Struthio camelus: one gene and its partner. The protein of the gene in region 1 purifies or fractionates together with the protein of each later gene. This does not show direct contact. Links are inferred from orthologs where the notes say so. Each region holds a gene or a part of one and is shown on either strand. Other genes may lie near its edges.

What was found.
Region 2: the proteins of RAD9A (region 1) and RFC5 purify together in Homo sapiens (affinity purification with mass spectrometry; 3 studies listed by BioGRID and IntAct, with this or other methods). This does not show direct contact. The link is inferred for Struthio camelus from reciprocal best matches to the Homo sapiens genes RAD9A and RFC5.

What each region holds. Positions count from the first base shown.
Region 1 is NC_090946.1:3,695,858-3,707,070, forward strand, and holds RAD9A (cell cycle checkpoint control protein RAD9A), read left to right. Parts: upstream 1-6,750; 5' UTR 6,751-6,758; coding exon 6,759-7,079; intron 7,080-7,154; exon of another isoform or gene 7,155-7,347; coding exon 7,348-7,456; intron 7,457-7,532; coding exon 7,533-7,603; intron 7,604-7,727; coding exon 7,728-7,862; intron 7,863-7,993; coding exon 7,994-8,108; intron 8,109-8,198; coding exon 8,199-8,298; intron 8,299-8,744; exon of another isoform or gene 8,745-8,767; coding exon 8,768-8,877; intron 8,878-8,968; coding exon 8,969-9,075; intron 9,076-9,163; coding exon 9,164-9,228; exon of another isoform or gene 9,229-9,294; coding exon 9,295-9,396; intron 9,397-9,532; coding exon 9,533-9,734; intron 9,735-9,815; coding exon 9,816-9,914; 3' UTR 9,915-10,408; downstream 10,409-11,213. Other genes in the region: PPP1CA (serine/threonine-protein phosphatase PP1-alpha catalytic subunit), read right to left, coding at 10,500-10,610, 10,914-11,048. UniProt on the Homo sapiens protein: Component of the 9-1-1 cell-cycle checkpoint response complex that plays a major role in DNA repair. The 9-1-1 complex is recruited to DNA lesion upon damage by the RAD17-replication factor C (RFC) clamp loader complex.
Region 2 is NC_090958.1:5,304,805-5,315,905, reverse strand, and holds the start of RFC5 (replication factor C subunit 5), read left to right. Parts: upstream 1-7,171; 5' UTR 7,172-7,233; coding exon 7,234-7,277; intron 7,278-7,377; coding exon 7,378-7,442; intron 7,443-7,582; coding exon 7,583-7,719; intron 7,720-8,062; coding exon 8,063-8,142; intron 8,143-8,528; coding exon 8,529-8,602; intron 8,603-8,792; coding exon 8,793-8,952; intron 8,953-9,857; coding exon 9,858-9,939; intron 9,940-10,109; coding exon 10,110-10,239; intron 10,240-10,572; coding exon 10,573-10,650; intron 10,651-10,739; coding exon 10,740-10,794; intron 10,795-11,075; coding exon 11,076-11,101. UniProt on the Homo sapiens protein: Subunit of the replication factor C (RFC) complex which acts during elongation of primed DNA templates by DNA polymerases delta and epsilon, and is necessary for ATP-dependent loading of proliferating cell nuclear antigen (PCNA) onto primed DNA.

The DNA of each region.
Region 1 (11,213 bases):
GGCCAAGGACCGGGCCACCACCCTGGAGATGGGACACAGGGGAGGGCCAAGGAACGGGCCACCAGCCTGGAGACGGGACAAAGGGGAGGGCCAAGGACAGGGCTATGACCTTTGAGACCGGACACAGGGGAGGCCAAGGACCGGGCCACCAGCCTGGAGACGGGGCAGGGACACAGGGGAGGGCCAAGGACCGGGCCACCACCCTGGAGATCGGGCATGGACACAGGTGAGGGCCAAGGACCGGGCCACGACCTTGGAGACAGGGCAGGGACACAGGGGAGGGCCAAGGACCGGGCCACCAGCCTGGAGATTGGGCACGGACACAGGGGAGGGCGAAGGACTAGGCCACCAGTCTGGAGACGGGATAGGGACACAGGGGAGGGCCAAGGACAGGGCCACAACCTTGGAGACGGGGCAGGGACACAGGGGTGGGCCAAGGACCGGGCCACCACCTTGGAGACGGGACACAGGGGAGGGCCAAGGACTGGGCCACCACCTTGGAGAAGGGACACAGGGGAGGCCAAGGATCGGGCCACGACCTTGGAGATGGGGCAGGGACACAGGGGAGCGCTAAGGACTGGGTCACCAGCCTGGAGACGGGGCAGGGACACAGGGGAGGGCCAAGGACCGGGCCACCAGCCTGGACATGGGACACAGGGGAGGGCCAAGGACCGGGCCACCAGCCTGCAGATGGGACATAGGGGAGGGCCCCCTGGAGACGGGGCAGGGACACAGGGGAGGGCCAAGGACCGGGCCACCAGCCTGGAGATGGGACACAGGGGAGGGCCAAGGAACGGGCCACCAGCCTGGAGACGGGACACAGGGGAGGGCCAAGGACAGGGCTAGGACCTTGGAGACCGGACACAGGGGAGGCCAAGGATCGGGCCACAACCTTGGAGACGGGGCAGGGACACAGGGGAGGGCCAAGGACCGGGCCACGACCTTGGAGAAGGGACACAGGGGAGGGCCAAGGATAGGGCCACGACCTTGGAGATGGGGCAGGGACACAGGGGAGGGCCAAGGATCGGGCCACCAGCCTGGAGACGGGGCAGGGACACAGGGGAGGGCCAAGGACCGGGCCACCAGCCTGGAGATGGGACAGGGACACAGGGGAGGGCCAAGGATAGGGCCACCAGCCTGGAGATGGGACACAGGGGAGTGCCAAGGACTGGGCCACAACCTTGCAGACGGGACACAGGGGAGGCCAAGTACTAGGCCACGACCTTGGAGACGGGGCAGGGACACAGGGGAGGGCCAAGGACCGGCCCACGACCTTGGAGATGGGGCAGGGACACAGGGGAGGGCCAAGGACAGGGCCATGACGTTGGAGACAGGGCAGGGACACAGGGGAGGGCCAAGGACCAGGCCACCAGCCTGGAGATGGGACACAGGGGAGGGCCAAGGACCGGGCCACCACCTTGGAGATAGGGCAGGGACACAGGGGAGGGCCAACGACCGGGCTACCAGCCTGGAGATGGGACACAGGGGAGGGCCAAGGACCGGGCCACAACCTTGGAGACGGGGCAGGGACACAGGGAAGGGCCAAGGACCGGGCCACGACTTTGGAGACGGGACACAGGGGAGGGCCAAGGACAGGGCTACGACCTTGGAGACCGGACACAGGGGAGGCCAAGGATCAGGCCACCACCTTGGAGACGGGGCAGGGACACAGGGGAGGGCCAAGGACCAGGCCACCAGCCTGGAGACGGGGCAGGGACACAGGGGAGGGCCAAGGACCGGGCCACCAGCCTGGAGATGGGACACAGGGGAGGGCCAAGGACCGGGCCACCAGCCTGGAGACGGAGCAGAGACACAGGGGAGGGCCAAGGACCGGGCCACCAGCCTGGAGATGGGACACAGGGGAGGGCCAAGGACCGGGCCACCAGCCTGGAGATCGGGCAGGGACACAGGGGAGGGCCAAGGACCGGGCCACGATCTTGGAGATGGGGCAGGGACACAGGGGAGGGCCAAGGACTAGGCCACCAGCCTGGAGACGGGGCAGGGACACAGGGGAGCGCCAAGGACCAGGCCACCAGCCTGGAGATGGGGCAGGGACACAGGGGAGGGCCAAGGACGGGGCCACCAGCCTGGAGACGGGACACAGGGGAGGGCCAAGGACAGGGCTATGACCTTTGAGACCGGACACAGGGGAGGCCAAGGATCGGGCCACCAGCCTGGAGATGGGACAGGGACACAGTGGAGCGCCAAGGACCAGGCCACCAGCCTGGAGATGGGACATAGGGGAGGGCCAAGGAACGGGCCACCTGCCTGGAGATGGGACACAGGGGAGGGCCAAGGAACGGGCCACCAGCCTGGAGACGGGACAAAGGGGAGGGCCAAGGACAGGGCTATGACCTTTGAGACCGGACACAGGGGAGGCCAAGGATCGGGCCACCAGCCTGGAGATCGGGCAGGGTCACAGGGGAGGGCCAAGGACCGGGCCACCACCCTGGAGATCGGGCATGGACACAGGTGAGGGCCAAGGACCGGGCCACGACCTTGGAGACAGGGCAGGGACACAGGGGAGGGCCAAGGACCGGGCCACTACCTTGGAGACGGGGCAGCGACACAGGGGAGGGCCAAGGACCGGGCCACCAGCCTGGAGATGTGACACAGGGGAGGGCCAAGGACTGGGCCACCAGCCTGGAGACGGGGCAGGGACACAGGGGAGCACCAAGGACCGGGCCACCAGCCTGCAGATGGGACACAGGGGAGGGCCAAGGACCGGGCCACCAGCCTGGAGATGGGACAGGGACACAGGGGAGGGCCAAGGATAGGGCCACCAGCCTGGAGATGGGACACAGGGGAGTGCCAAGGACTGGGCCACAACCTTGCAGACGGGACACAGGGGAGGCCAAGTACTAGGCCACGACCTTGGAGACGGGGCAGGGACACAGGGGAGGGCCAAGGACCGGCCCACGACCTTTGAGATGGGGCAGGGACACAGGGGAGGGCCAAGGACAGGGCCATGACGTTGGAGACAGGGCAGGGACACAGGGGAGGGCCAAGGACCAGGCCACCAGCCTGGAGATGGGACACAGGGGAGGGCCAAGGACCGGGCCACCACCTTGGAGATAGGGCAGGGACACAGGGGAGGGCCAACGACCGGGCTACCAGCCTGGAGATGGGACACAGGGAAGGGCCAAGGACCGGGCCACAACCTTGGAGACGGGGCAGGGACACAGGGAAGGGCCAAGGACCGGGCCACGACTTTGGAGACGGGACACAGGGGAGGGCCAAGGACAGGGCTACGACCTTGGAGACCGGACACAGGGGAGGCCAAGGATCAGGCCACCACCTTGGAGACGGGGCAGGGACACAGGGGAGGACCAAGGACTGGGCCACCAGCCTGGAGATGGGACACAGGGGAGGGCCAAGGACCGGGCCACGACCTTGGAGACGGGGCAGGGACACAGGGGACGGAAAAGGAACGGGCCACCAGCCTGGAGACGGGACACAGGGGAGGGCCAAGGACTGGGCCACCAGCCTGGAGATCGGGCAGGGACACAGGGGAGGGCCAAGGACTGGGCCACCAGCCTGAAGATGAGACACAGGGGAGGGCCAAGGACCGGGCCACCAGCCTGGATACGGGACAGGGACACAGGGGAGGGCCAAGGACAGGGCCACCAGCCTGGAGATCGGGCAGGGACACAGGGGAGGGCCAAGGACCGGGCCACCAGCCTGGAGATGGGGCAGGGACACAGGGGAGGGCCAAGGACCGGGCCACCAGCCTGGAGATGGGACACAGGGGAGGGCCAAGGACCGGGCCACCAGCCTGGAGATAGGACAGGGACACAGGGGAGGGCCAAGGACTGGGCCACCAGCCTGGAGATGGGACACAGGGGAGGGCCAAGGACCGGGCCACGACCTTGGAGACGGGGCAGGGACACAGGGAAGGGCCAAGGACCGGGCCACCAGCCTGGAGATGGGACACAGGGGAGGGCCAAGGACAGGGCTACGACCTTGGAGACCGAACACAGGGGAGGCCAAGGATCAGGCCACCACCTTGGAGACGGGGCAGGGACACAGGGGAGGGCCAAGGACTAGGCCACCAGCCTGGAGATGGGACACAGGGGAGGGCCAAGGACCGGGCCACGACCTTGGAGACGGGGCAGGGACACAGGGGAGGGCCACGAACGGGCCACCAGCCTGGAGATGGGACACAGGGGAGGGCCAAGGACTGGGCCACCAGCCTGGAGACGGGGCAGGGACACAGGGGAGGGCCAAGGACTGGGCCACCAGCCTGAAGATGGGACACAGGGGAGGGCCAAGGACCGGGCCACGACTTTGGAGACGGGGCAGGGACACAGGGGACGGCCAAGGACTGGGCCACCAGCCTGGAGACGGGGCAGGGACACAGGGGAGGGCCAAGGACCGGGCCACAACCTTGGAGACGGGGCAGGGACACAGGGGAGGGCCAAGGAATGGGCCACGACCTTGGAGATGGGACAGGGACACAGGGGAGGGCCAAGGACCAGGCCACCAGCCTGGAGATGGGACACAGGGGAGGGCCAAGGACCGGGCCACAACCTTGGAGATGGGGCAGGGACACAGGGGACGGACAAGGATCAGGCCACCACCCTGGAGATTGGGCAGGGACACAGGGGAGGGCCAAGGACTAGGCCACCAGCCTGGAGACGGGACAGGGACACAGGGGAGGGCCAAGGACCTGGCCACCAGTCTGGAGACGGGGCAGGGACACAGGGGAGGGCCAACGACCGGGCCACCAGCCTGGAGATGGGACACAGGGGAGGGCCAAGGACCGGGCCACCAGCCTGGAGACGGGGCAGGGACACAGGGGAGGGCCAAGGACCGGACCACGACCTTGGAGACGGGGCAGGGACACAGGGGAGGGCCAAGGACTGGGCCACCAGCCTGGAGATGGGACACAGGGGAGGGCCAAGGACCGGGCCACGACCTTGGAGATAGGGCAGGGAAACAGGGGAGGGCCAAGGACCGGGCCACCAGCCTGGAGACGGGACACAGCGGAGGGCCAAGGACAGGGCCACCAGCCTGGAGACGGGGCAGGGACACAGGGGAGGGCCAAGGACTGGGCCACCAGCCTGGAGATGGGACACAGGGGAGGGCCAAGGACCGGGCCACAACCTTGGAGACGGGGCAGGGACACAGGGAAGGGCCAAGGACCGGGCCACGACTTTGGAGACGGGACACAGGGGAGGGCCAAGGACAGGGCCACGACCTTGGAGACCGGACACAGGGGAGGCCAAGGACCGGGCCACCAGCCTGGAGATAGGACAGGGACACAGGGGAGGGCCAAGGACTGGGCCACCAGCCTGGAGACGGGACACAGGGGAGGGCCAAGGACCGGGCCACGACCTTGGAGACGGGGCAGGGACACAGGGAAGGGCCAAGGACCGGGCCACCAGCCTGGAGATGGGACACAGGGGAGGGCCAAGGACAGGGCTACGACCTTGGAGACCGGACACAGGGGAGGCCAAGGATCAGGCCACCACCTTGGAGACGGGGCAGGGACACAGGGGAGGGCCAAGGACTAGGCCACCAGCCTGGAGATGGGACACAGGGGAGGGCCAAGAAACGGGCCACGACCTTGGAGACGGGGCAGGGACACAGGGGAGGGCCAAGGAACGGGCCACCAGCCTGGAGATGGGACACAGGGGAGGGCCAAGGACTGGGCCACCAGCCTGGAGACGGGGCAGGGACACAGGGGAGGGCCAAGGACCAGGCCACCAGCCTGGAGATGGGACACAGGGGAGGGCCAAGGACCGGGCCACGACTTTGGAGACAGGGCAGGGACACAGGGGAGGGCCAAGGACTGGGCCACCAGCCTGGAGACGGGGCAGGGACACAGGGGAGCACCAAGGACCGGGCCACAACCTTGGAGACGGGGCAGGGACACAGGGGAGGGCCAAGGAATGGGCCACGACCTTGGAGATGGGACAGGGACACAGGGGAGGGCCAAGGACCAGGCCACCAGCCTGGAGATGGGACACAGGGGAGGGCCAAGGACCGGGCCACGACCTTGGAGATGGGGCAGGGACACAGGGGACGGACAAGGATCAGGCCACCACCCTGGAGATTGGGCAGGGACACAGGGGAGGGCCAAGGACTGGGCCATGACCTTGGAGATGGGGCAGGGACGCAGGGGAGGGCCAAGGACCGGGCCACCAGCCTGGAGATGGGACATAGGGGAGGGCCAAGGACCGGGCCACGACCTTGGAGACAGGGCAGGGACACAGGGGAGGGCCAAGGACCGGGCCACCAGCCTGCAGATGGGACACAGGGGAGGGCCAAGGACCGGGCCACCAGCCTGGAGACGGGGCAGGGACACAGGGGAGGGCCAAGGACCGGGCCACCAGCCTGGAGATGGGGCAGGGACACAGGGGAGGGCCAAGGTCCAGGCCACCAGCCTGGAGATGGGACACAGGGGAAGGCCAAGGACCGGGCCACGACCTTGGAGACGGGGCAGGGACATAGGGGAGGGCCAGAGGCCAGGGCATATGCCTAAGAGATTGGGCAGGGACAGAGTAGTCCAGGCCCGCGGCCTCGGGATGGGGTAAGAACACAACAGAGGGCCAGGAACCAGATCACGGCAAGTTGTAGGGAGGGCAGGCAGGGCCCAGAGCCAGTGGCCCAGGGCAGGGCTGGAGCCAGCGAGCCCCTACCAACCCAAGCACCCGCCACATACCCTACCGCGCTCACTGCCTTAAGACTCTCTGAGGGGGAACGCTCGTCCCCCGTCCCGCCTCCCGCAGTCGACGTCCTATTGGCTAACGGCTATGTCGCTCAAACTCTCTCTCCAGTCTTCGGCGTCGTCTGTGCTCTCCCGCCCAATGGCCAGGCGGCAGGAGGCGGGCTCACCTGCACGCGCAGCGCCGAACCCGCGCGGCGCTAGGAGCGGGGGAGGGGGGAAGGCTCCGCCCCTGCGTCAGGTGACGCGACGCTTGGCGCGAGGACGGAGGGCAGCCGGAGCCTCTCAGCCGCTCACGTGGCCGCGCCAGCCAATAGGCCTCCCGTGGGGGCGTTGCGAAGGCGGGCGCCCGCCCAATGGGAAGAGAACGAGTGAGGGCGGCGCGCGGAGCGCAGAAGCCTGCGCAGCGGTGAGGCGAAGCGGGAGCAACCACTCGGGGCCGCGGGGGGGGGGGTGTGTGGAATGCGTGGATTAAACCATTCCCAGGGGCCGTTGGGGAGCGGGGGTGGGCGCCATCTTGTCGGTGCTCCCGGGGCGGAGGGGGTGCGACCGTGCGGGTGTTGGGCGCGGAGGATGGGGGTGGGGGGAAGCTCACAACCATCGAGGGGCGGGGCAGTGCTGGGGGCGGGGCCAAGCAGGGTGTGGCCGGGGCGGGGCTAAGGCACGGGCCTCAGCAGGACCGAGGCCTGGCGCTGGCCCCGTCGTGGTCCCCAGTGCTGAGCCTGGCCCGGTGGCGGCGGCAGCCCGGCGCCATGAGGTGCGTCGTCGGGGGAGGCAACGTGAAAGGTGAGCGGGGCGGCACCGGGGCCGGGGCGGGCCGGGGGCGCTGCCCCACCTCACCCCCTCTCTGCCGCCTCACCAGTCCTCGGCAAAGCCGTGCACTCGCTGTCCCGCATCGGGGACGAGCTCTACTTGGAGCCCGCCGACAACGGGGTAAGGGGCGCTGAGGGGGCCCGTGGCTCCCGACTCCGGGGAGGCGCGGGTCTCTGCCCGGGCGTCCAGGCCTTTGGGGCAGCGGGAGAGGCCCCGCACGGTGACGGCCGCGCTGTCCCCCCAGCTGTCCCTGCGGGCTGTGAACTCCTCGCGCTCGGCCTTCGCCTCCTTCCTCTTCGCCCCCCTCTTCTTCCAGCTCTATGAGAAGGGCAGCCCCCAGCCCGCTGGGGAGCTCTTCCGCTGCAAAGTCCTCATGAAGGTACCCGGCGCCTGGCCGCCCTGCCTCTGGGAGCCTGCGCCCCGGCGTCCCCTTCGGGTCCCAGTCCTTCTGCAGCCACGTGGGGCGGCAGGACAGGGTGACGGGTCCACACATCTGTCCTGTGTCTGCAGTCCTTCCTGGGCATCTTCCGGTCGCTGCCCTCGCTGGAGAAGACGGTGGGGAAATGCCTCATCTTGCTCAAGCCCCAGGCTAGCCGCCTGGTCGTGCAGCTCCACTGCAAGTACGGTGAGCGCTGGAGGGCAGTGTGTGGGCACCGGCGCCACCCAGGCTGCCGGGGCCACCCCTGCCCCGCTGAGCCCGTGCCTCCTGCACCAGGTGTCACCAAGACCCATAACCTGGCCTTCCAGGAGTGCGAGCGGCTTCAGGCCGTCTTCAGCACGCAGCAGTGCGCCAACAGCCTCTGTGCCCCAGCCCGGTGAGCAGGGCGGCTGTGGGGTGACAAGGGGCAGAGCGGGGCCGGAGCAGTGCGGCAGCGCCTGGGAGGGGGATGAGAGCGGAGAACTGGGAGCTGCAGGAAGCAGCGGTGGCACAGGGCTGGCACTGGGGCAATGCGAAGTGGGGATCAGGGGTGGCACTATGGGCAGAGCGAGGGGTTTGCAGATGGTATTAGGATGGGCACTGGCAGGATTGGGGGGACACTGGGATGGGTGGGGGGGCATGGCATGGGGATCGGGGGGGGGACACTGGAATGGGGATCAGGGTGGCACTGGGATGGGTGGGGACATGGCATGGGGATTGGGGTGGCACTGGGATGGGTGGGGGACACTGGGGATAGAAGGGGGATTGCTGGTGGGCAGGGCTGGCCCTGCAGGCCCCGGGGTGGGCACAGGGCCCCCAGCTCTGCGCATGCACCCCTGCCAGCCCCACGCACCACGGCCCCCCAGGGTCCTGGCCGAGGCCGTGGTCCACTTCCCCGCGACACTGGCTGAGGTGACGCTGGGCGCCGGCCCTGGGGGCAAGATCAGCCTCCGAAACTACGTGGAGGATGAGAAGGGTGAGCCATGACGCCTGGCGGGCAGCGTCTGCCCGCTCCCCTGGGCCGGGGCCCCAGCATGACCCCCTGATCCCCCCCCCCGCCCCCCCAGAGTTGGGCAGGACGATGGTGACGGAGCTGTGGCTGGCTGAGGACGAGTTCCAGACGGTGGCCGTGGCCCCGGGTACCTGCATCACCTTCTGCCTCAAGGAGTTTCGGGTGAGCCCCTACTGCGGCCCCCTCCCCTTTATGCCAGGGTGCTCCAGTTTACTCCTCTGCCTACCTCAGCCTCATCTTTGCCCCACAGGGGCTCCTGACCTTCGCTGAGGCCTCGAACCTGCCTCTCACCATCCACTATGACGCACCCGGCAGGTAGGACCAGGCCCCTGGCCGCCCCCTGCGCTCCCGTGCCGAGCCTCAGGCCCTCTGTGTCCCCAGGCCAGCAGTGTTCACCGTGGATGACCCCCTGCTGGAAGTGCACCTGGTCTTGGCCACCCTCTCGGATCCGGACAGCAGCTCGCAATCCCCCACGGCCAACGGGTAAGCAGGACAGTGCCCAGTGCTCCCAGCCTCGGCGGGGGTGACAGTCCCAGCTCAGCCCTCCAGCTGCCATCAGTAGGGGCCAGAATCAACAAGCTTCCCTCTGCTCCCCTTACTTGCTCTCTCCCCAACACAGTGCCTCTGACTTGCCTGCCCCTCCGGACGACTTCGCAGACGATCTTGAACCCTACATGATTGCCATGGAAACCAGCACCTATGAGGGAGGCTCCGGCGTGCCCCCCAGCCCCACCTTCCCCCTGCGTACCCCTGGCCCAGCAGACAGTGAGCCTGAAGAGGAGGAGGAAGAAGCTGTGCCAGGGACACCCCCTCACAAGAAGGTCTGGGATGGGCACGGGTGTACCTGGGGGACATGGGGACGGGCACAGCGCCCTCCCTGAGCCCTGTCTCTCCCCTCTTAGTTTCGCTCACTGTTTTTTGGCTCCGTGCTGACACCGGGAGGGCCATGCGTGGCCCCAACCCAGGAGGTGCTGGCAGAGGACAGCGATGGCGAGTACTGACAGCCCTGACGCCGCCAAGCTCCCTGGCCCCCGCGGGCCCCCCGCACTGTCCACAGCACCCCCGGCCTGCGAGCATGGCCGCACTCGGAGCTGGGCTGGCCCCAGGGCCCTTGCACGGCAGTGGCTGGCGCTGCCTGGGCGCCCCCTCTCTGGGGCTGGACGCCTGGGTTCCTCGTGGAACGGCTGCAACCGCGAACCAGGCACGTGGCTCCCCCCCGCGGCGTCACCCCCCAGCACCCAGGCGCCACAATGGGCACAGCTGGGCACTGCTGCCCCCCCAGTCCCAGCATCAGCCCCCAGACACAGGCACCCCCCCACGACCCATTACAAGTTTATTCCCAAAAAACCCCCTGCCCCCCCTCCACTGCCATCCTGGGGACAGGTTCCCCCAGTTGCCCCTCGCGTTCCCGGCCCCGGAGGGGTGTTTTTGGTACTGTGGAGTGTGGCGGGGGGGGAGGGGGATATTACAAATAAAAAAACGAATTGAAAGAAAAGCAACCTGATGCTGGGGAGGGCTGGGGCCCGCGGGCACCAGGCCGGGCCCCGTGCCCTCAGCGGGTGGGCAGCGGGCTGGTGGCTCACGGCTCACTTCTTGGCTTTGGCGGAGTTGCGGGGAGGGGTGACGGGGCGTCCCGCGGGGTTGAGCCCGCTGAACTGCCCGTATTTGCCCTTGTTCTTGTCGGCCGGCTTCAGGATCTGGGGTGAAGGGGGTGAGTGGAGGGCTTGCACGTGCGTGTCCCATCCTGTCCCCCAACCCTGCGGGCACGGGAGCCCCCCAGGTCCCCTCCTGCCTTGCGGGCACTGTGGAACCCCCAACACCTCTCCTTGCCCCCCAGTTCCACGTGTACCGGGGACTCCCTCTACTTCCCCTCTTGCCCCCCAACCCTGCATGCACCAGGACCGCCCTTCCCCTCCCTACCCCAGCCCTGCAGAAACCGGGGACCCTCCCGCCCTTCCCTCCTGCCCCCAACCCCATGGGCGTTGAGGGCCCCAGCCCACCTGGAAGGAGCACATGAGGGTCTCATCCACGCTCATCATGGCACCCGCGTTGTCGAACTCCCCACAGTAGTTGGGCGCCGAGAAGAGCGTCACAAGCTGGCGCTTGGCGAAAAACTCGTAGCCATCCTCCACCACCTGGCACAGGCATCAGAGCTGGCACTCAGCCAGACACCCCTTGAGGCAAATAACCACCTCGTGGGGCAAATACCCGCCGGGATCCTGCCCACGTACTGTCCAGGCAACCTCCCCACGGCAAATACCACTCCATGGGAGCAAACACCCACATAAAGCCCAAACACC
Region 2 (11,101 bases), on another chromosome or scaffold:
CTCGGCCCCCTTGGAAGGCGCCGTTGCCCCCCGCTGCCCTCCCGCCCCACAAAGCCTCCTGGGGTGTTTTGGGGGACCTGCGGCCTGCGTTTGCCAGTGGGCAAGGCCGCTGTACCCCAAGCACGGTACCGGGGCCCGGGAGAGCTCGAGCCGCATTTAACTTCCCGCCACTCTCCCAGGGCAAAGCCACGCGGAGAGGCCGCACGCCGCGCCGGGCCCCACGTCCCCGTCTTTGGGAGCTCGCTCTCCCCGCGCCCCTTCACACCGGTTTGTTTTGCGTGCCTGTCCCGCACCTTGCCTCCCTCCCGGTTTGCTCCTGGGGAAGCCGATGCTGCTAAGGGACAGGCCAAATCCTGCTGCGCTTTCCCGACACCAAGGGTTGCACCGAGCGGCACGAGCAGGGGAGACGGAAAAGCTGCAACGGGGACAGGGATGCCAAGGAGAGACCCTGCTGTGGCAACAGGATTTGGCCTGCAACCGAGCAAAAAAGCAACAACAACAAAAAAGCCAAATAAAAATAAAGATGCCAAACGTCGTCTTCAAGGCTTGCTGCAGCGTGCCTCCCCCACGCTCACTCCCCCTCCTCTCCCGCGAGCTCCTGCCTCAGAGCCGCCGCTCCGGCTGCCGCGAGCGGCCCGGAAAGCCCACGGCCGCGGTTTGGGGAGCGAGCGGCGGAGGACACCGGAGCCGACGTCCCCGCCGCCGTGCAGAGAGCCATGTGCCTTAAAAGTGCCTTCTGCAGCAGCCCCCGCCGGTGCGGCTCTCCTACTGCACACGCAGAAGCGCACAGCGCAATCGCCTGTGCGTAAATGGGCAGCACACCCCAGGACTGCCTCTGCGCCAAATACACGCAGAAGGGGCGAAGGGCGAGAGCCACCCTCGTCCAGGCGCGGGAGAGGAGCGCCGGGGACAAAACGTGCTCGCGGGGGCAGCCGGGCTGGCGGCGCGCCCCGGCCACGCGGCTCCTCGCGCTCGCAGCCTTCCCCGAGGCGACAGCTTTGCCCTGCGCTGGCTGCCCCTTTGCAGGACGCTGTGCGGGCGCTGCCCAGGGGATACGGCCCAGAAGGTTTGCAACGTGCTGCTCATCGCTTTCTTTAAGCAGGAGTTTTAATTTACAGGCTTGGCCCATCGCCCCAGCGTCGCGGACCGTCTCCATCCCTCCCTCCCGCTCGCAAGCCGTTCACTTGCGCTCAAGGATCCTCTTCCAAGTGCATGTGTGCAGGTTTGTGGGGGGGAATTAAAGGGGTTTTAAAGAAATTACTGGGATTTTAGCTTCCCAGCCAGGCGTGTGCTGTCCTGCCTGGAGGGCACATCCCACTGGAAGCACCAACACCTGGTCAATTCGGTCACAACTGGTCATTTTTGGCGCTGCACTACAGGATCAATGTTTTCGGCAATGGCTCAAAGGGAAGAGCGTAAATCCCCACTCGGGCACTCGACCTCCGGGAGCACTTTGTCCCTCCCGGCTCCTTGCGAGCCGCGCACCCGAAGACAGCACGGCACAGCCGGAAGAGAAAGACAAGCCCCTGCAGAAAGCGCAATGCACTTAAAGCAACGCAATTGCACCCAAATGCACCTAAGCGGGACGGGCTAAGCTCCAGGCCACGTCCATGGAAATCAAGTGAAAGGAGCCTCCCGCGCGGCCAAACCGAGCTCTTCGGCCCTTTGCCGACGCGGGGTGGATGGTTACGTGCGGGATTCAGCCCGGCCTGGCCGTGAGCCCGGTCTGGATGGAGGCAGACCTGGCTCACGCAGGGACAGAGCGCCCCGAGTCGTCCTGCCCGTCGCGGGTGAGCACGATTTCGCTGGGTACAGCTCCAGATCTGGCTCGGATTGCTTAGGAATACAGCAGCATAAGCTGCCACCAGTCCTTCGCAAGGAGATGCTGCTGCATCTCTCCAGCCCGCAGCGCTATTATTCCTGTTAGCGGAGGCGTCACGTCCTTTCGCGGGTTTTAAGCGAAGAATAAACGCGCACCTGCTCCAACCAGAGCGATTTCTTGGGGAGAGGTGCAGACCTTTCCTTGAGCGCCTAGAGCAGATCACAGCTGCCTTCCCGGCCGGGCAAACGGCAGTGCAAAAGTCACGGGAATATGCTTGAAATCGCTGGCCACGTTGCCCGCTGCGCCCCTGCCCGGCCCCCGAGCAGAGCGCCCGGGGCCGCGCGGCGCCCCAGGAAGAAGGACATTTCCGTTCGCGCCCGCGATCGCCCGGAGACGCTCGTCTAGAGCGTTTACCTCGTTGCCAAAGCGTTTGGATCGGACTGGGACTGACTAGCGAGCCGCTTGGAAACCGCTGGGCAGAAACCTCCCTCGGCCACAGAGCTCGTCTCGGGAAAGAAATCCTGCTTTGCTGTCGTGAGGTTGAGCATCCCGTTGCAGCCGGGCTGCGCTCTCGATGTCGGTCGTAATTTCACACGTATCTGCATGGGCGCAGGTGCGTGCGTGTGTGCGTGTGTGTATATATGTATATGTGTATGTGTATCCCATACCTGTGTGCGTTGTAGCTGTGTTTTAGCAGGGGTGGATGGCTGGGATCGCCCCCTCGCAGCTCACGGGGCAGCACTGCATCCCCCAGGGCAAAGGACCGGGCCGGGTTTCTTTTTGGGTGCAAACTAGCCCAGTCCCCGGGCCTGCGATAGCCCCAAACCGACTCACCGCGGGGGGAAGCCGACCTCCCGCTCGGCTGCTCTTTAGCCCCGGGATAACGAGGAACGGCCCTCCGGAAAGGCCGGCAGAGAACGGCGTCCTGTCGACTGCTGCGGCAGGCACTTTTTGAAGGCCGTAACAGGCAGATATTTAAATATCGCCTGCGTTTGAAATGCAATGCAATTTCTGTCATTAGCTGGAGCACAGGGAAATAGGAGAGAGAGAAAAAAAAAAAAAGACACACTGGAAATTTTCTCTCCTGCTGGCTTCTGTGGTTAATCAAGTCTTTCAATAACCAAAACGGAGATAACAGGGCAAGGCACTCTTTGTACTCAGCGCGTTTGCAACAACAGATTATTTTTTGCCTAAAACATCTAAGCCACCAGCACAGTCATTTCTACGGTCGTCGCTCCCGGGCGGCTTACGCGGGAGGCAAGGACGGGACGGTCCCGCGCTGCCCACGGCCGCGAGGAGGCACGAGGCAGCGCGCCGGGAGCCCCAGCCCAGCATCTGGCCGCTAGCGAGGAGGCGATCCCCCCGGCCTGTCCGCGGCGCAAAGACAGCCGAGATAACCCCCCCCCCCAAAAAAAAAAAACAACGCAAGCAAAACGGGTGCTGGGCGCTGAAAAACGACCCCGAGAAGCAGCCGCGGGGCAAGACGTGCCGAGGCTTAGGGCGCGCGCCGACCCTGCCGCTCTCCAACCGCCGAGCAAGCTCAGCGGGCCGCTCCGCGCCGAGGCCTCGCCGGGGCGGGCGCACAAGGATTCGGGACAGCCCCCATCGCCTGCAGCCCCCCCCCGCTCGTCAAGAGCAGCCTGCAAAGCGGCCACGGTCCCCCCAAGCCCCCTGCGACATCGCTTCGCTGGCTGACCGAGGATGGACGGACAGATGGCCGGCCGGCCGGATAGCATCGCCGGCGCGGTGCGGCGCGGCTCGGCTCGCCCGTCGCCGCTGCGCCCGCCGCTCGCCGCCTGCGAGAACAGGCCGCGAGCGCCACGAGAAAACACCCTCGTTTCACTATTGTACGGGCAGTCTCGGGCGGCTTGAATTATTCATTTCCTTCGTTATCAGCGTCTGGCTTTCGTAACGGGGCTGGACGCGCGCGGCGTTACTCAGCAACGTCAGCTGCTTCGTTTCTTCGGCAGACGTCGTCCACGGCGCGACGGGCTCCCATAGAGCGCGCGCCGCCGGCGCCGCTCTCCCTGCGGCCCCCGTCCCGGGCGCCCGTGCCATCCGCCGCCCACCCTCGAAACCTGGGGGCCCTTCCGTTTGTTTCGAGGGCCGGACGAGCGAGGAGGCTGCTGCTCCGCTCCGCCGGCCCCGGCTGATTCCCCGCCGCCAAAGAGCCTCCCCGCGGTTTCCCGCGGGATGTACCGCCACCGGTTCCCCGGGATTCCCCCGTCCTCTTGCCCAGGGACGCGCCTGACACCGGGGGGCCGCGGACAAGCGTCCGGCGGGGCCGGAAACTCGTGTCGCTGTTTGCAAAGTACGATGTGAACTGCTGGCCCCCTCGCAAGAGGCACGCTAGGCAAGAAAGCCACCGTTAGACACCGGTTGACAATTCAGCCCGTCACAACAACGCACAGTAGTTGGGGGGGGGGGGGGACATCAATTTTAACAACATTAAGCAGCAAAAAAAAAATCTTCACGCCAGCCTAGACAGCGGTCAACAAATAGCTGAAAGCGCCCATGAGAAATCCGGCCACGGATCTGAGCGCGCACGTACATCCGCTCTGGCATTCAAGATTTATTAATAACGGCGGGAGCGGAGGGGAGGAACTCCTGGAAAATTTGGTTTTGAAGAAGAAGAAGCCGCCCCAGGCAAAGCCAGAAGCGAGGAGGGGAGAAGAGCGGCTCCAGAATTGCTAAATACATGCAAAGTTCAAAAGCGTCACGTGCGCCAGGTCCCCCTGCGAGCCGGTGCCTAGGTGCGTGGCGAAAGGTCCCCGCGGCTCTTCGCCCTGCTGTCCGAAGGGCCATCTGGCCCGGCCGTCACGTGCCCAGAGGAACAGATGAGGCTTGCTGAGCTCAGCTTCGAGCTGTTGCTTTTCCTTATGTGGCTGCAAAAAATAAATAAAAAAAAAAAAAGCAGCTCACACGGTGTGTGTTATCTTGCCTTCGCTCCGTCCCAGCTCGGCCACGCTGCGCGTGGGCACCTAGTGCCCCCAGCCCAAACGAGCCGCAGCGCCAAGCCGTTTTTCTCTGGATTATTTAGCATTCAGGTGTTTCGAGTGGATTGGAAAACTGGATTTCTTAATAGCTGTCAACAGCCAACCTGAGAGGAACACTCAGGGATGTAGGGGCCACGTGCCCCCGGGCTCGCGCAGGGGACCACGTCTTCTAACCCCTCTCAAAGCCGGGCATCATCTTCCCCCGTCCCTCTCCCAGGAGCAGCCAGGATCTCACTGCTTCCTCTTCATCCCTCTTCATCCTCTCTGTGCCAGCGTGGCTAACGTTCACAGGTGGCAGCTAGGCTGCGGTCTACATGGTGAGCACCTACTGCAGATCTCTTCTTTAGAAAACCAGTCAGCAGAGGAAGATGCTGGGTTATCGTCACGATCCGTCCCCGGAAGCCCCCATGGATCCTATTCCCCGCTTCCTTCTGCGCCTGTTGTTTTTCTTTAACCATTGATTCTAAATATTCGCATCTAAAAGGATCTATGGGCCTGCGGTTTCATTTGCGTTTTGTTAAGGACCGGAGCAAATTCTGCTTTCTCCAGGTGCGAGGCACCGCTCCGCAGACACCGGACGCGTCGGTCCAGCGCTGGTACCCGCTCGCATGCCCAGGCGCCGGTTCTGCCCCGGTCTGGCAGAAGGGCTCCGCCGCCTCCCCGCTCCGCTCTTCCGCCTCGCCCGGGGCTGTTTCCCTTTGCGCGGCCCGATTCCTCGCCCCGTGCAGGTGCCCGGGGCTACATCCCTCAGGGAGGACTGTGGCAGAGCAGCCATTCATCCCGGGCTCGCATGGTGTTCATCTTCCGCCTCAAGCTCGTTCTCAGTGAGGAACAGCCGCAAGTATTCCGCTCAAGGTTTTCCTGCTATTTTTGTGGCTGAAGGATGATGTTACGTGTTTTCATGCTGTTGGCCCAGCGTGACATTTGGCAGTTCCTGCTCAGCTCTCCCAAAGCCCTCCGAGAGCTGATCCAGCCCCGGCAGCCGCTCCGCTCCAGCTCCCAGCTCTCCCGGTTTCCCTCTGGTGGGTTTGGGGGTTCGGGAGCGCTTCATGTTTTTTCTTCCCTTGCTGGCAAGAGGATCTCCATAGTATTTTTGGCCTTTCGATTTACTTCACATCTCTACATCCCTGCTTCGGCGGCGGATCGCTCTCCGTTATCCCTCGGCGCTGGTGCTATGCGAGCCAGAGTCTTTCACTGCAGTCCTGTCTGATTCTCCAGCCATCTCCTCTAACCTGAACCAACGCCTGAGCATCCTGCCACCCATTAGCTTCGACTATTTTTCCCGTGAAGCGACTTCTCTAAGGAGGTCCTAGATGTTTGCCAAAGGCACTTCTAAAACAGCAAGGACCCCCTCCTCGTTTGGAGACGACTCCGGTGAGAAAACGCAGCTATTCCTCCAGGAATAGCTGGGAGCCACGCAACCCCACGCAGAAACAGCCCCGTTACTCAGCCGAGGAGTTTGGCAGCACGAGAAGCAGAAGATGGGCCTGGTTTTTCAAGTTGAAAATCAACCAGAAAACGAGACCTCCGAATCTTCAGGCTGCTGCCGCGCACCAGAAAGCAGCGGGTACGGCCACGCACGCTCTCGTCTCGCAGCCGCCTCTTGAGCCCGCCGCTCGCGCCGTGCAACGCGTCGGGCGCCGTCTCCGAAGCGCTGCCCCAGGCTCCCGCCCTGCAGCTCTCGGGCAACCGCGCCGCTCGCTAGCTCTCCCCTCGGCCCGCAGCCCCGCAGGCGTCGGGCGAAGCCCCTCAGTGCGCGCCCAAAAGTGCTCCCAAGAGCACGGGCACGCCTCGGCTTTGGCGGCCACCAGCACCCTGCTCTCCCCGACGGCCCGGGCGCCGCTTCGCCTTGGCATCGGCCAGCGCCGGGCTTTCCCCGAAAGGCTTCGCTCTCGCCAAAAGCGCGGGCGCCGCTTTGCTTTGAGCATCGCTGGTGCCCGGCCGGGGCTCGGCGGCGGCAGAGCAGCGGGGCGGGCTGGACGGGGCGGGCTGGACGGGGCGGGCTCGGCGGCGGTGGCGGGGCGGGCTGGACGGGGTGGGCTCGGCGGCGGCGGCGGTGGAGCGGCGGGGCGGGGCGGGCTCGGCGGCCGGGCGGGCTGGATGGGGCGGGCTGGACGGGGCGGGCTCGGCGGCGGCGGCGGGGCGGGCTGGACGGGGCGGGCTGGACGGGGCGGGCTCGGCGGCGGCGGCGGAGCGGCGGGGCGGGGCGGGCTCGGCGGCCGGGCGGGCTGGACGGGGCGGGCTGGACGGGGCGGGCTCGGCGGCGGCGGCGGAGCGGCGGGGCGGGGCGGGCTCGGCGGCCGGGCGGGCTGGACGGGGCGGCGCAGCGCTGCGGCTCCCGCCCCCGCCGGCGGCCCGGCCCCGCCGCCCCGCGCGCTCTCGCGAGGCCGCCGAGGCGCCTCCCCCGACGGCAGCATGGAGCGGGCGGGCGGCGGCGGCCGCGCCAGGAACCTGCCCTGGTAGGATCGGCTCGGACCGGGCCGGGGCGGCCCCGCGGCGCCCCTCACCTCGGGTCGGGTCGGGTCGGGGGCCGCCCCTCACCCCCGGCTCTGTGTTTAGGGTGGAGAAGTACCGCCCGCAGGCGCTGGCCGAGCTGGTGTCCCACCGAGACATCCTGAGCACCAGTAAGTAGCGGGCCCCGGGCCTCATCCTGCGCCTCCGCAGGGAGCCGGCGAGCGGGGCCGCGGCTGGCGTCCAGGCGTGCTGTGCCCGCTCCTCAGCCCGGCGCCCGCTCCCCCCCGCCGCCCTCCTGCCCCCTCCCCAGTCCAGAGGTTCGTCAGCGAGGACCGCCTGCCGCACCTGCTCCTGTACGGGCCTCCCGGGACCGGCAAGACCTCCGCCATCCTCGCCTGCGCCAGGCAGCTCTACAAGGAGCGCGAATTCAACTCCATGGTTTTAGAGGCAAGTCGGACGGACCCTCCGGCTTCGTCGCCTGCCGCCCGGTCCGAGGAACGGGCTGCGGGGCGAGGGCTGGGGCGGGCAGGGCTGTGCCTGCGGTTGGGCGGTCACCTGCTGTTTCTCGCGCCGGGCACCGAGACTGGCATGGAAATTGCTCCCGCCAAATGCCCGGAATGGGATTTTCCAAGGGGATCTTCCTCTCCCGTGCTGGGCCAAGGCGCTCCCAGCCTGGGCTGGGAGGGAGAGCATTGATGGGCGCCCCAGCTCAGGCGGGAACGGCAGCTGCCGCAGGGAGGGAGGAGAGCCACGGCCGCCACTGCTCTTCCCACCTTCTGTCCCTCTCTAGCTGAATGCCTCGGATGACAGAGGGATCGATATAGTCCGAGGGCCCATCCTGAGCTTCGCCAGCACCAGGACCATCTTTAAGTAAGTGGCAGGGCTGTATTTCCCTTCCTTTTCCCCCTCTGTCCGCAGCCCGGCCGGGCGCTGGGCTCAGGGGAGGTGGTTTTGCCAAGGAAGGAGGTGGCTTCTGGGGTGGGCTTTGTGGCCGAGCAGCCTGCGAAGGAGCTGGGAGTGCCCAGCACGCCACGAGGATGAGGGCGATAAGGCTGCTGGTCAGGAGGGCTCTGATGGTGCTGCTGAGATGCTCGGACGGGCGGAGGGAGCCTCAGCCTTAAACAGCATGTTCCCGGTGGGGCCGGGCTGGGGATAGGTGTCTCTCAGCTCCTTTCTCCAGCATCCAGCTTGACTCGACCCCAGCAGCTTCTAAAAGGCAGGCGAGACCGAAGCCACCTCCTTTCTCTCTCTTTTAGGAAAGGCTTCAAGCTGGTGATCCTGGATGAAGCAGATGCCATGACACAGGATGCCCAGAATGCCCTAAGGCGAGGTGAGGGGCCTGGGGGGCTCGGTCGGGACAGTGGTGTGACCCCACGCTGTTGGCACCCCTCGAGCCTTTTCCAGCCAGGAAAAGGACACGGCTGGCAGCCCCCTCCCACAAGGCACGTGCTCTAGGGCCTCCGTCGTGGATGGCTACGGACCTCGGCAGATGCAGCACCTCTCCTACCTTCTCCTTGCAGTGATCGAGAAGTTCACCGAGAACACCCGGTTTTGCCTCATCTGCAACTACCTCTCCAAGATCATCCCTGCCCTGCAGTCCCGCTGCACGCGCTTCCGGTTCGGGCCCCTCACCCCGGAGCTCATGGTGCCCCGGCTGCAGCACGTCATCGAGGAGGAGAGGTGAGCGAAGGGCACAGGGACGGCGCGGGATGCCGGGGTGGGGGCTCCGCAGTGGTCCCCCTTCCCTCCCGCTCCCCCTGCCTGGGAGGGAACAGCAGCTTCGTTGCTTTTTCCAGGGTTATTTCAAGCAAGTTCTTCCAGCTCTTCCATCAGCAGCGTTGGCTCCCAAGGGCAGGGCTCTGCCCAGCTAATGAAGGCTCTCCGGGGCCGGTCCTGCCCGTGTTTCACCCAGGCCGTGCCAGGAGCCCCGCAGGTGCAAGGAGATCAGCCTGGCCCCGCAGCAGGGGGGCTGCTAACCATCCTTAGGGACAGAGGGGCCAGGGTGGGCCCAGCTGTCCTCTGCTTTACAAGCCAGAGGGGCGGGCAGGCAGAGATTAGGCAGATACACATGTTCTGAGCAAAATTAACCCAATGGCTAGTTATTAATTTTTGCTTTAGGACAAAAAAAAAAAAACCTTCAGTGTCGCAGTGATCTTGTATTTAACTGTCTCCTCAGACTTCAGCTGCATTTGAAATCCAGTGCTGCTGGGCAATTTGTTGTAACGGTGCAAAAAGTACTTAACACTGCAAAAAGTTGCAGTGTTGCTGTTGGCCTTTCTGAAGCCGAATATCCACTTCTTGCCCTCACCTGCCCAGCTGTTTGCGTGAAATAGCCACCGAGGCGGCTGCAAACTTACAAACCAGCTTCACAGCCAACAGCACCAGCCACTGCCCGCGCTGGTGCTGGGCTCTGAGCTCCCGGCCTCGTCCCTGGGCTCCGCGGGAGCGTTACGGAGACCGGGGCCGTGCCACAAAGCTGCCATGGTGGCGTGCTGGGTGTCACCTTGGGCTAGTATCTGGAGAGCCGGCCGTCCTTCGGCTCTCTCTCGCCCTGTGCGGCAGCCCCAGTTCTCCTGGTCTTCCAGGGTGGATGTGACGGAAGATGGGATGAAAGCTTTGGTGACCCTCTCGAGCGGCGATATGCGCAGAGCCCTGAATATCTTACAGGTACGGCCCGTGGCTGCACCTCACGCTGTCCGCAGCAGACACGAGCGTTAGTTGCCTCGCGTAACCCAGGAGCCAGTTGTCCCTGCTGCCTGGAGGGAGTCGCAGAGGAAGGGCTGGCCCCCAGGGAGCCCCTTCCCTCTGCAGCCCTCCTCACCCTTCCTCTTCCCCAGAGCACCGCCATGGCCTTCGGGAGGGTGACGGAGGAGAACGTTTACACCTGCACCGGCCACCCCCTCAAGTCTGACATTGCCAACATCCTTGACTGGATGCTGAACCAGGACTTTTCCGCTGCCTATCGGAGTATCCTTTTCTCTCAGCCTTGCACAGCCCACAGCCGACCAGGGTTGCCTTGAAGCCCGAGCGAGGGCGGTGGAGATGCTTGCTCAAAACAGAGTTCCTGCTAATTCCCCTCCATCCTTGAGTGTAATCCCCGTTGTTGTAAACCCTCCTCTTTTCCAGGGCTTCCCGTCCCGTTACGTCCTGCCCTGGCTGGGGCAGGGCTGGGCCGCGCGTGCCGTGCTGCTCGCTGGGGAGGGTCTCGCTCCCCACCCGCGCTCTCCTGGGGGTGGCTCGCGTCCTGCAGGTCACAGGGAAAGCGCTGCAAGGAAACCCCTTCACTCACTGCCGTCTCAGAAATCACGGAGCTGAAGACGCTGAAGGGCTTGGCCCTGCACGACATCCTCACCGAGATTCACCTGTTTGTGCACCGAGGTGTGAAGCCCGCGCGCTCGGCCCCTCTGCCGGGGGACAGGCATCCCTGCAGCCTGCGCTCGCTCACGCTCGTCTCCTTCTCTCCGCAGTCGATTTCCCACCTTCGGTCCGTATCCAGCTGCTGACCAAAATGGCAGACATCGAGTAAGCGTCCACTCGACCCCCCCGCGGCGCTCCTCGGCCGACGCTGCCGCTCAGGAGGGCTGCCAGCGCTCCCAGCCCGCGGGCTTACCGCTAACGCGCCGTGCCTGGTCTTCACGGCAGGCAGGGGCTGTCGGGAGCCTCCCCTGCACGCCGGCCGCTGCTTCGTGCCCCCGCTGGCGCCTGCCCAGTGCTGCTCTGAGTTTGTCCTGTCCCAGCCAGAGCTGTCACTCCATCAGGACGCTGCTGTAAGTGCTTAAACCTGCCCTTTCCTCCTGCTCCAGGTACCGGCTGGCTGCGGGGACAAGCG